Regions from separate parts of the Mus musculus genome. Here all the other regions are reported to be linked to region 3. Evidence: microRNA targets listed by miRTarBase, many of them from high-throughput screens and not tested one by one. Region 3 holds a microRNA gene; each other region holds the end of a gene's coding sequence.

Region 1 (3,666 bases), not on the chromosome of region 3:
TTCTATAGTGTTCATTTTTATCTCACTGTTTCACTGGTATCTGTCTTTGACAATCTCCACAGATGGTTCGCAAGCACCAGCTAGACCCCCCAAACCACGACCCCGAAGGACTGCACCAGAAATTCATCACAGAAAGCCCCATGGGCCCGAAGCGGCGTTGGAAAATGTCGATGCAAAAATTGCAAAACTCATGGGAGAGGGGTATGCCTTTGAAGAGGTGAAGAGAGCCTTAGAGATTGCCCAGAATAACGTGGAAGTGGCCAGGAGCATACTTCGAGAATTTGCCTTCCCCCCTCCTGTCTCCCCACGTCTGAATCTATAGCAGCCAGAACTGCAGACACCAAAGGGCAGTTAACAAATATTCCAGGAGTATGAGACAGAAGGACTGAGAGGGAATGCAGGAGCCACGGTGTCTTTCCGTGTGGCTTCCCCAGAAGGCAGCCTGGAGTCCAGCTTCTCTGGTTCCACAGCTCTCTTAGGATGCCCACACTGAAGCTTCTGTGTTTGTGCTAGCCATACTTTGAAATCAGGGTTGAACTGATAAAATAATTTAAAGACGTTTACTCCCCCTTGAACTTTGAATCTGTGAAATGCTTTTCCTTGTTTACACGTTGGCAGAATTGCAGTTTGTCTCTGTTTTTGATCCCTGTACTGTGTTCCTGACAGGCCCTTTGCAGAGTTGCTCAGGTCTGCTGTAAGTTTCTCCATGCCTGCCCTGGTGCCCACATCAGAGGCTAAACCATCTCTTTGTTTTGCTCTCTATCCGGGCCCCACCTCATGTCCCCAGCCAGGTCCAATTCCATTTCTCCCATTCACACGGCACGCTAGTCTGAAGGTCCTGATTTTTCAGTGTTTCAAACTAATGCAGAAAGAAAAAGGAAAATGTGTGTGGTCTTGTCTTCACTACTGAGTCTTTTCTTTGGGAACCATCACTGTTGAGAGGTGGGGGAAAACCTGAATGTAAAAAGCATTTATTTGTCAATAAACTGCCTTTTGTAAGGGGTTTTTATATACTATAAAAGAGCTTCTCTTGTTAGTTTAAGTTCTGTGACCTTTAGGTTCCCGAACTCTCCCTCTCATCCACCCAGGAGTGTCATAATGCTGTAAAAGTGACTGCTGCAGATGCAGGGAAAACAGGCTTGCAGGAGACTGCTTGTACTCCAGTACCATAATGAGATGCCCTGATATTAATGCCTGCATCACTTTCAGGAGAGATGGAAAAGGGGACCACCGCCTGGAAATATGTTAATATGCCTTTAGATAAGGTCATGGACATACATGCCTTTCCCAAGTGGAATAGAGCCCATTTTCTATTTTATGATGTCACCCTGGCTCCTCACAGTGTGGGAGCCCCCTAAGGCACTGACGACTGTTATGTATCACTGCAACTGCAGGCCTTGTAAGTTGCAAAACTCTTAGTACCCTTTCTCCACTCATGGTAGGAGTCCTGTTTACTCTGTGGGTTTTGTTGTTGACTGCTCTGTGTTGCCCCCATCCAGGCAGATGAAACTGTGGTTACTTCTAATCTATGGATATCTTTTGACCATCTGTAATGTGCGTTGCACTCTTGTGGGCTTTGAAAGCACAAACTCTCACACATGGACTCCATCATATTATTTGTGTAGATGCGTTTGGTGGTAAATGTCTCCAGTCTGATGGATGAAGCTTCCAAGATTGGTGTAAGGACTTTAGACCTCTGTGGCAATTTCAGGTTTTTGGGTTGGGTTGGGTTAGGTTGGGTTGGGGTTTTTGTTTCTTTGGTTTTTTGTTTTTGTTTTGTTTTGTATCCCTAATAGTGGGGGGAAAAGAATAAAAACTATCTCTGTGCAAGAATGCTTGAACCACATTTTGATAGTTTCTAAACATTGATTTTAGGCTTGTGTGGATGTTTCTTACCACTCGTTACTCCACACCTAGTCTCACATACAGAGATGCCTCGGATAATCACTTATCCTGACAAATGACAAGATAGTAAGTACATCAGACAGATCCGATGGAGCTGCCATTGTACAAGACTCATGGACAAAGCTGTGTTTGTCCAGGAAGGGAACCCAGCACATTCTTTTACAGTTTGGCTTTTATGGAATGAGACAGGATTTGAGGACTCTTAGTCTGCATATTTTAGGTTTGTTTGGATGGTCTTATGTTGCTTCTGCTACCAGAGGTGTATTTTTTTTTTTAATGTTTTCATATCCTATACCTGGGAGGAGGTATGAATACAAGTTTTTTTTTATACTTTCTACAATTGGCTATTTGTTGTTTTCTTATCTGCTCTTACTTTCTGTACTTGTTTTATAAGTTCTGATGTCATACTGATACAGTGCTGTGTCTGTTGGGCTTCATGTAGCTTGCCAGCAATCAGCATAGCCTAATACCTAGAGTTGCCCCTTTGTTGTCCTTACACTGTTAAAACATCCTTAAAGGAGGAGGGGGTAGGTTTACAAGAGGAACCCTGGGACCCACAGCATATTCACCTCCACTCTCAGAAAGTACAAGAGATTTTCCTCCAGAATTTAAAAGCTAAGGATGTGCTGACACAGTTTTTTGGAACCTGAAGTTTCGGCAGGGTAGGGAAGTGTAAATAATTTTCTGGATTGTACCAAGATCCCTACTGCAGCCACTCAGTAGCCACTGTTGGTTTTCTCATCAAGGAAAGTGAATCTTAGGAGTCATATGTAAGACAAAGCAAAGAGAAAATGGGAAAACTCACAAAATTTATTTGAAAAAAAAATGTTGAAATTATTTTTCATTTTGAAAGGGACTACTAGTTAATAGTTGCTAACTAACACAATGTTCCACACTTTGTTCCCTCTGATCCAGAAATTGAGGTGCCCCCCCATGCTCAAGATCTGATAATAGAATTACCCTCAATCCAATATCTTATATAGTCTGCACAATTAAAACAAACCATGGCTAATTGTAACCCCTACCTGGGATCCATCTCCAATGATATTCCAGTCATTGTTTTTCTAGAAATGGGGAGTTATTTTTTTCCTTTTCCTTTTATCCTCCCCACCCCCCACCCTGCACCTGACTTCTTGGTATCTGATATATATCACAGCCAAATTTTCTGGACACAAATACTGGCATTTTGATGCTTAACTTATCATGGTCCCACAATTCCAGTAGATAGCCCTTTTCCACGTTCTCCCTCCCTACAGTACAACAGAGCCCTGGCTACAACCTTCAGAAGTCTGTTTGCTAACTCAGTATTTCACACACCCAGGACACATGCAGAGCTCTTCATAATGTGAACTTCCTAATTGTTCAGTTCCAGAAGCATTTCCTGCAGTTTGAACGTGACTTTGCCTCTCGGATTTTCAACTTGAAGCCTTAGTTTGCACTGAATTGTCTCATCTGGTTTTAAAATGTCTCAAATGGACTGATTTGGAATCAAAATGTGGTATATTTTAAATATTGATGCAGGTACTTTCTGTAAGCCTGAAATGTTGAGCTTCGAAGGAGACTTTCTGGAAAAAGACAGCAATAGAAAGTTTTCTTCTCAGTTCCTATTTTTATTGTTTTGAAATGCAGTTTTTACGACTTGTCTAATGTGGCAAAATAGCTATGTGTTCAATTAATTTATATTTTATTCTTTTTTCATTTCTGGATATGTAACAAACCTCAAGTACTTTATCTGTTCTTTTAAGGTATTTTATAAAATGA
Region 2 (3,666 bases), not on the chromosome of region 3:
AACTTCATCGAGCAAGTGTTGCTTTTTGACATTAAGAAAGCTAGTAAGTATACAGGCTTGTACCACAGATGTTTCTGTCCAGAGTGGTGGGGCAGGCACTTCCTAGTTTTAGCAAGACATCAGCATGTCTATATGACCTTCTGACATCCTCTTAGATAGACATACACATACACCAAAAATGAAAGGGGTTAGTTTTTGTTTTTAAAGTCTTTTTATTTAAAAACAAAAACAAAAAAGAAAACCAAATCAAAATATTTCCCATTGGAGGCTATTTCTTTTTTTGTCTTTTAAAAATTTTATTACACAAATATCTCCCATTCCCAAGTGTCAGAAGAAAGACATCTTTGCTCTTTCTAAAACCAAGTGGGAAACTTTTAGAAAACAAAGTCCAACTAGCTTTCTTCCTTCCCTGACCCAAAATAATGCCAATGTGTCAGCTGGTGGCCTAAGACTCATTCCCTTAATGCTTACATTTAATTTAAAAATCTTAGCACAACATTGGAGATCGACTCTAAATAAGCAACAAAAAATATATATTTACAATATTTCCCACCCACCCCCAAAAAACCAAACCCTTTAAACATAGTGACTTTAGGAGTTTTATTTATTGAGCAGTTATTTTTTTAATCACCAAGTGATTTTATATTATATATATATAATTATATATATATAATTTTCTTCCTTTCCTTTGTGTTTTTTTGCCCCAGTATGTGGAAAGATGAAGGCAGAGGTCAGGTCCTGCAGTCTGAGGCCAGGCTCTGGCAAGACTGCAGCTAAGAGTAGATGCAGGACTATGAACTCGCATGTTCTACGTCCTCGGAGACACTTCTCTCTTTTTGCAAGGACCAACTCTCACCTCTAAAAACCATTCTCCCTCATAGTCCTAAAGAAAAGACCCAGCAAGGGCGTCAGTCCATCTGCCACCACCCTGAGCTCCCTTTTCCACTGACAAATTTCTGTGCGGTAAAATGCTTGCTTTTTCTAAATTCAAATGCAAAGACCAAAACCCAGACAAGCCATCAGCTTAGAAATTTCTGTGGATGAACTGTCCCAAAGGGCAGAGGCACTCTCCCGGCACAATCCCTGCTCTGAAAGGGTCTCTCCACCTCCCCTTTCATAAAAAGACAACAAACAAAACTTAGTAATTTTAGTATTTTCCACAGGAGCAACCAAAAAGAAAAAAAGTCAGGAAGCTTCTAATTATAGGTCATTAATAGTATTAATAAGGTTTTTGCTCAACACCCAGGGTTCTTTACAGAAGTTCCCCCAACTGAGGCACTCTGGAATAAGTCACTGGCGTTTCCTCAACATTTCAGGCCCAGGATTCTGGGACCTGAAGACCAATGGAATGGCAGAGGGTCAAGGGAGCAGACTGCTGTTTTTAAGGTGCAGCCAAGAGAAATCAGCAGATTGGAAGAAACAATGCCATCCCTTGCCAGAAACCCAGTTTTCCTGGAAAAAGTCTGGTTATTGCCAGGGTCAAAGCTGGGCTGAGTGGCAGAGGGGACACTTCTGCCTCTATTGCTTTGGCAGTGGCAAGGGTACAGTTAGCATCTCTCCTTGGGCGGTTCACACTTCAGACTCATGGTGCCCGGGCTCTGTCCCCTCTTGATGGAGTTTAGGAAAGTCTGAGGCTAGATTCCAGGAAATGGGGTGGGAAGTGGGAAGGGATATGTTTGGGGCTAAGAGAAGGCGGGGCAAGGCTGTGCTATCAATTATCAATCTCCTATAGATGGGGAGCAGAGTGCAAATTTGCATGTATCACTGACAAACTCTGGCCACAGGCCTCTGCTGAGCATCTCCTCATACTCTAAATATTGACCCAGAACAGTTCCGACCATTTTCTTTCTTTCATTTTTTTTTTTTTTCTAAAGTGCAAAAAGCTCTCTGCTGCCCTAGAGAGAGGATCTTTGGACAGGCCGTTCAATGCAAAGTCAAAGGGGGCAGCTTGATGGGGCTTGAAGAAGGGCGATGAGGAGTGGGAGCCATCATGCTCCCCTCCTTCCCTGCACATATGTGCAGCACACTTAGCCAGACACACAGAGGCACATGCACACACACTTCCAAGGCTGCAGGCAGAGGGTAGGTTTTCAATCAGGACTCCCCTTAAAAGGCACCAGGTCAGTGAGCTGCTAGGTTATACACAGGCCTGGGCTCAGAGGGCCATGCTAAACCAGAGCCCAGAAAAGCCTGGCTTAGAGAGGCAGGTGGGGATTCAACCAGTCTTCTGTTTCCCCCACCTGGAGAAACATGCTGCTCCTTCTGAGGACACAAATTCTAGAAAAGCCCTGCTCAGGCAGAAAGAGGACAAATGGAAAAGGGCAGTTGGTGGGCAGCAATGGGTGGGGAGTATTAATGATGCCTGTCTTAGAATATGCCTGGGTAGCAATGATATGGGCATTTCGGGGGGGGGGGGGAGGGGCAGAGTTCCAGCTCCTCTGAAGAGCTTTTGATAACCCCAAGTAAGTGCAACAAAGGACAAGTGGGTGACTAGTGGAAAAGTTTAGGGGGTGATGGCAGAATGGGGACTGTATTATGAGTGTTGGACAGCATCAAGCTCAGGGACAAGAAAAAAGGGCTATGACAGACATGGAGCAAAGCTTCAGACAACTCACAGCACCATTGAGACCTGCCAGGCCTGGTGTTTCTAGGGCTGTTGGCTCCTCCTGCAGAAGCCGGGAGAGTTTAACGGAGGAGAGACACGCAACGGACACCATGAGGAGAATCTGGCCATGGAGGCAAGGCTGCCTTCCTCCCTAGAGTATGCTCAGAACCAGGCACTGCTAGGGACTATGGGTGAGAAGGTAGGGTTCTTGGCCCAGTGCAGGTGAAAGATGCACAAATTCCCCCAAACTGAGAGCCCAGCTTCCTAGCTGGCAGACGAGCAAGCAAGCAGGAACTGGGATAGCACAGCCTGTGCTTTCTCCTTGATCAACCTCTCCTTTCTTTTCCGTGGGAGGGAGAGGAGCAGGCAATAACCTTGGTGTCCACCAACCTCTCTGCCCCACCTGTGGGAGAAGGGCTCAGAGAAAAGAGAGCAGAGAGGGAATGTGTCGTTGGCCTCAGAGCCTGCGCAGGGTCAGGGAGAGACTCTCCTTGGTGGGAAGGCAGGGGAAGATTTTCCTGTTCAGTCTGGGCTGAGCATGTCTTAGCTAATCTTCTGTATCAGTTTCTCATCAGACAGGCAGTAGAGGCTGTTGATGGACAAGTCTGAGATGAAGTGCTCACAGGCTTTTCTCGTGATCTGTTTGCATCCTCGAAGGTCAATCAAGGTGACATTAGCAATTCGCCTTAGGAAGAACAGGGTCTGGTCTGTCAATTTATTGCAACCTGTAGGCAACATGGCCAAGAGAAAAAAAGATTACAAACATAGCCACAGAGGCCCATTTCTGCCACTCTGTTATCCCAGTATCTTTCTCCAATGCTCTGTCACCATGCAGAGATACTGGGGTTGCCATCAGTATTGTGGCCTCTTGCTGCCTGCCTCTAAGGACCATGGGCAAGTGAGCAGCACAAGAGCCATCTGGCTGACAAAACTACAGCTGGACAGCAGCCAAACATGCCGGCACCTGAGTTTACTACCCACCTCAGAGATCTTTGGTTTAAAAAGAAATAGAAAAGTCTCTTACGGCTGGAGAGACCCCAGCAACCACACGGTGGCTCACA
Region 3 (4,664 bases):
GCGCATGCGCGCACTCGTTGGGACGTGGGGACACCTGGGTCCCACAACTGCTTGGGCCTCGTAGCCTATCTCCAGAGGGGGATGGGACAAGCGCTTCAGGAGCCTGACCGGACAAGGTAGTAATGAGTGCGCCATTCTGGGCAGGCGACTGTGGCACTGGTTTAGACTGGCATCCCATGGGTGCTTGGATTAAGGAAGGACTCTGGTGTTGGGGACAGAAGGGCAAGGCTGAGGGAGCGGGTCCTGTGTGTCACTGGGGCACCGTGGGCTTTGGCCTGGGCGGTGTGGGGGTTCCATTTCCTAATTCCTGTGTGGGCCGAGTGGGCGGGGGCGGGCTTTCCCCCCTAGGCTATTAAAGGCGAAGGGCGGGCTTTTCCCAGGGATCGGGCTTTGGGACGCAGCTCGAGGTGACGGACCGCTGCCACAGGCTCGTGTGCACAAGTGGTGCTGCGCGGACACTTTGGGGGTTAGGTGTGCGTGGGCCGCCGGGGCGCGTTTCCTGCACGTGGCTCCTCGCCGCCCTCCCTCCTCCACCAGCTAGGAGAGCAGAGGGCCAGGAGCTCTAGGAAGATGCGTGCGGTTCCCTGATCCTGGCAGGCAGGACAGCAGCGGGATGGTCGCGCGCGCCACCTGCCAGGGCGGGTCACTGGCAGATCCCCTACGCGCTTGTTCTGGATGACTGGACCAGGAGATGCGTACCTCCGCGGGCGCAGCTGTGATCCCAGAGAGTTAACTAAGGTGGGAGGGGATGGAGCTGGCAAGACTTGAGAAAAGCAAAGTACCTGAGTGTAGTTGAGGGGTGCCAGGCAACTCGTGAGAAAAGGACTCTCCCTTGTTGCTCTGAAGGTTTCTGGAGAACTTGTGGGTGGTCAAATGCCAGGGTGCACGTGGGGTGTGGGGCGGGAGGACTCCCGACCTACCTTGGTTTCCCTCCCACCAACCCGAGAATGGAGGGAGAGGCTTAAGCTTGGCGCGTTTTGGGGGCTTTGAATGGAGAACTCCGTTTCCCATAATGCTTTGTTTCTTTCTGTTTAATTTTGGTGGCCGCTAAGGTGTCTTGAAGACCTAAGCGCGTGGCATGACTGGCTGGAGCACACCCTGCGTTCCCAGGAGGTTCACAGATCTCTACTGGAGCCGCTGCTGAAGATGCGGGAATAGACCAGAGAAAATCCCGAAATGGTAAAAGACTGGGTCCTCTTTGCAATTTTAGAAGTTGTACAGCGACTTTCTAGTATATATGATGGAGAGCAGATGTGTTAAAGAAAGGTATTAGCTAGAAGGAGCTTTCTCTGGAGGGCTGAGGTATGGTTTTGCGAAGTTGAGTCAGGTTTTGTAATATATTTTTAGTGGAGGCAAAAATCTCTAGTTGTAGGAACCCAGTTCAAGAAGAAAAGTATAATAAGCCAATACTTGCACTATAGGAAGCAGATTTCATATTTACTTCAAAAGTTTTGCTAATTTATATTTAAAATGTTTTAAGAACTATCTTAGTCACTAAGTGGCTTCGAAAAGTTCCAACATTTAAAATATCCTTTCTCATTGAACACATTTCAAGTTTTGTGTCCCTGAAGTTTATTGGTGTCCCCCCATCAACACAAACATTCCATCATGGGAGGGAGGGAGCTCGTGACCCCTCAGACTGTCCTCTGCAGCATTTTCCTGGGTAAGATACACACTTGGAAATGAGAGAGGTTTTTCCTGTGGAAGATAATGACATGAAGCCAAAGAGCTAATCTGACTTCTTTAGGTTTAATGGAGAAAATGGGTCCATAAATGTTTAAACAGAAGTAGAGCCCTTTGAAATAGATGAAAATGTGACATCTCTAGGCCATCTGTGCGGTATGTGAAGAGTGTAAAACTGTTTCTTAAAGCGGCTCTGAAATTTCTATCATTTTCTCTTAATGGGCTGGGGGCAGGGATGCTTCATGTAATCAAACATAGAGACCTTCCGAGTGGCTCCCCAAAGCTCTGGATGAGCTCAAGACGTCAGTACTCACCCTAATGTTATTTATTTATTTTTTTGCTTACATCTTTTCCTGGGCTCTTGCCTCTTAGAAAACCATGGTGGATATTACAGCTCTGCAAATTTTCTGGGATGCGAATCTCAAATTTCCTTAGACGGAGAGGGAGTCCAAAATCCTCTTACTCTTAAGAGTCAGACATTCTGAGATTGCCAGTGTTATTCATGTTTAAGTCTGTGTAAATAATTGAGCTTATTAATGTTTGAAGTAACACAACCCCATTTGCACTCTTAACGGAAGGCAAACTTGTTTTAGAAATAGTAACTCACAGTTCACTTACTTGCTGTGTGTGTGTGTGTGTGTTTATCCAGGTGAGTCTGCAGATCTGGCAAAGAAGAGTTCGTGGAAGACTTCAAGGTTACACTCCTGGAGTATGCCTTGGCCATGTCAAAGTGCTAACAGTGCAGGTAGCTTTTTGAGTTCTACTGCAGTGCCAGCACTTCTTACATTACCATGGTGATTTAATCAGAGGCCGCTGAGTCCCCTGGTTTCTGCATAGTTAGATTGTGGATGTTTTTGAGCTGCTCCTTGTAATGTGTCTCTTGTGTTAAGGTGCATCTAGTGCTGTTAGTGAAGCAGCTTACAATCTACTGCCCTAAATGCCCCTTCTCGCACAGGCTACTTCTTACCTTGCATTTGAAAAGCATATCTTGAGAAATGATTTGAACGGCACAAGTTTCAAAGGCTCTTTCAGTGTTTCGCCGAGAAACAGATGGCGGAGACTGTAGTATACAGTTGTGTAGAAGAACAAGCTCGGATCCTAGTAGTGCCAAAGTGCTCATAGTGCAGGTAGTTTTTATACCACTCTACTGCAGTGTGAGCACTTCTAGTACTCCTGGATCAACCAAGGTCTTGTTGAAGCAACTACAGCGCAAGGACATTGCTACTTACGATTAGTTTTGCAGATTTGCAGTTCAGCGTATATGTGAATATATGGCTGTGCAAATCCATGCAAAACTGATTGTGGGAATGTGTACCTTTCTGCATCGTAATGGACACCTTTATGCACATCTTCAGCATCCATGCCCATTCATCCACAGGTGGGGATTGGTGGCATTACTTGTGTTAGATATAAAGTATTGCACTTGTCCCGGCCTGAGGAAGAAAGAGGGTTTTTAATCGTCTTTTAGTTTCTGAGTATTGTAAGTTATGTTAGACTGTAATTATGAAATGAACTGTTTTGCTGTTATCAGGTGGAACACGATGCAATTTTGGTTGGTGTAATAGGAGGAAAATTGCACGGTATCCATCTGTAAACCGCAGGACCTATGTGGACAGCCGTCTATCAGTGCTATAGTAAGATTGTAAAATCCTTTAGCTAGTCATTGCTTTGAACACATTTGGAGTGGATTTTTTTTTTTTTTTTTTGGTTTTTCAAGACAGAGTTTCTCTGTATAGCCCTGGCTGTCCTGGAACTCACTCAGGGTGGCCTCGAACTCAGAAATCTGCCTGCCTCTGCCTCCCAAGTGCTGGGATCAAAGGCGTGCGCCACCACGCCCAGCTTGGAGTCTAATTTTTTAAAACTACATATTTTTAAATATATTTGAAATCCTGACATTTTGATTGCACTGAATGTAAACAAACCTGAAATTTGCAAAATAAAGCTGATATATAAGTCTGAAAAAAAATGGGTTTCTTTTTTCTTTTTTAAAAGATTCTATTTATTTATTTATTTATTTATTTATTATATGACAAGTACACTGTAGCTGTCTCCATAGACACCAGAAGGTGGCATCAGACCCCATTCCAGATGGTTGTGAGCCACCATGTGGTTGCTGGGATTTGAACTCAGTACCGCTGGAAGAGCAGTCAGTGCTCTTAACCACTGAGCCATCTCTCCAGCCTGGGGCTCTCTTTTTTTTCTCTCTTTTTTTTTATTAGGTATTTTCCTCGTTTACATTTCCAATGCTATCCCAAAAGTCCCCCATACCCACCCACCCCCACTCCCCTACCCACCCACTCCCCCTTTTTGGCCCTGGCGTTCCCCTGTACTGGGGCATATAAAGTTTGCAAGTCCAAAGGGCCTCTCTTTCCAGTGATGGCTGACTAGGCCATCTTTTGATACATATGCAGCTAGAGACAAGAGCTCCGGGGTACTGGTTAGTTCATATTGTTGTTCCACCTATAGGGTTGCAGATCCCTTTAGCTCCTTGGGTACTTTCTCTAGCTCCTCCATTGGGGACCCTGTGATCCATCCAATAGCTGACTGTGATCATCCACTTCTGTGTTTGCTAGGCCCCAGCATAGTCTCACAAGAGACAGCTATATCTGGGTCCTTTCAGGAAAATCTTGCTAGTGTATGCAATGGTGTCAGCGTTTGGAAGCTGATTATGGGATGGATCCCTGGATATGGCAATGGCTCTCTTTTTAAATTAGCAATACTATTGGCTTTTCTAAAATAGCGTCTTGGTATGTAGCTCTGGTTAGCTTGGAACTCAATTTGTAAACTAGGCTAGCCTTGAACTTGCGGAGATCTGTGTGTTTCTGCTTCTAGAATGCTGAGATTAAAGGTAGGCACCCCTCCACTCCTAGACTTCCAGCATTTACATACATTTATCTATCTATCTATCTATCTATCTATCTATCTATCTATCTATCTATCTATCTACTTATTTAGTGTGTGTGTCATGTGGTGATTTGAGA

The links. The annotated mature microRNA mmu-miR-19b-3p reads UGUGCAAAUCCAUGCAAAACUGA and lies in region 3 at 2,960-2,982, shown strand. An mRNA with a match to its seed (bases 2 to 7 or 8) in the 3' UTR can be bound and repressed. Matches are read on the target gene's strand: a 7mer-m8 pairs with bases 2 to 8, a 7mer-A1 pairs with bases 2 to 7 and ends in A, and an 8mer does both.
Region 1: miRTarBase lists Cblb as a target of mmu-miR-19b-3p. Seed matches in the 3' UTR shown: 7mer-m8 at 3,338-3,344.
Region 2: the mRNA of Kdm2a is a reported target of mmu-miR-19b-3p. Seed matches in the 3' UTR shown: 7mer-m8 at 1,874-1,880 and 7mer-m8 at 1,745-1,751.

Annotation. Positions count from the first base shown.
Region 1 is chr16:52,204,371-52,208,036 of GRCm38, forward strand. It overlaps Cblb (Casitas B-lineage lymphoma b), which reads left to right. Exons shown (of 18, transcript NM_001033238.1): 18 at 63-3,666. The coding sequence ends at 322. Among named protein-coding and RNA genes, the nearest start is that of Gm23513, 100 kb to the left of the region's middle.
Region 2 is chr19:4,315,952-4,319,617 of GRCm38, forward strand. Kdm2a (lysine (K)-specific demethylase 2A) reads right to left here. Exons shown (of 21, transcript NM_001001984.2): 21 at 193-3,330. The coding sequence ends at 3,149. Among named protein-coding and RNA genes, the nearest start is that of Grk2, 12 kb to the left of the region's middle.
Region 3 is chrX:52,740,309-52,744,972 of GRCm38, reverse strand. Mir19b-2 (microRNA 19b-2) reads left to right here and starts at 2,907; the gene lies at 2,907-2,990. It overlaps Mir363 (microRNA 363), which reads left to right and starts at 3,206; the gene lies at 3,206-3,280. It overlaps Mir92-2 (microRNA 92-2), which reads left to right and starts at 3,045; the gene lies at 3,045-3,135. Mir20b (microRNA 20b) reads left to right here and starts at 2,781; the gene lies at 2,781-2,860. It also overlaps Mir18b, Mir106a and Kis2.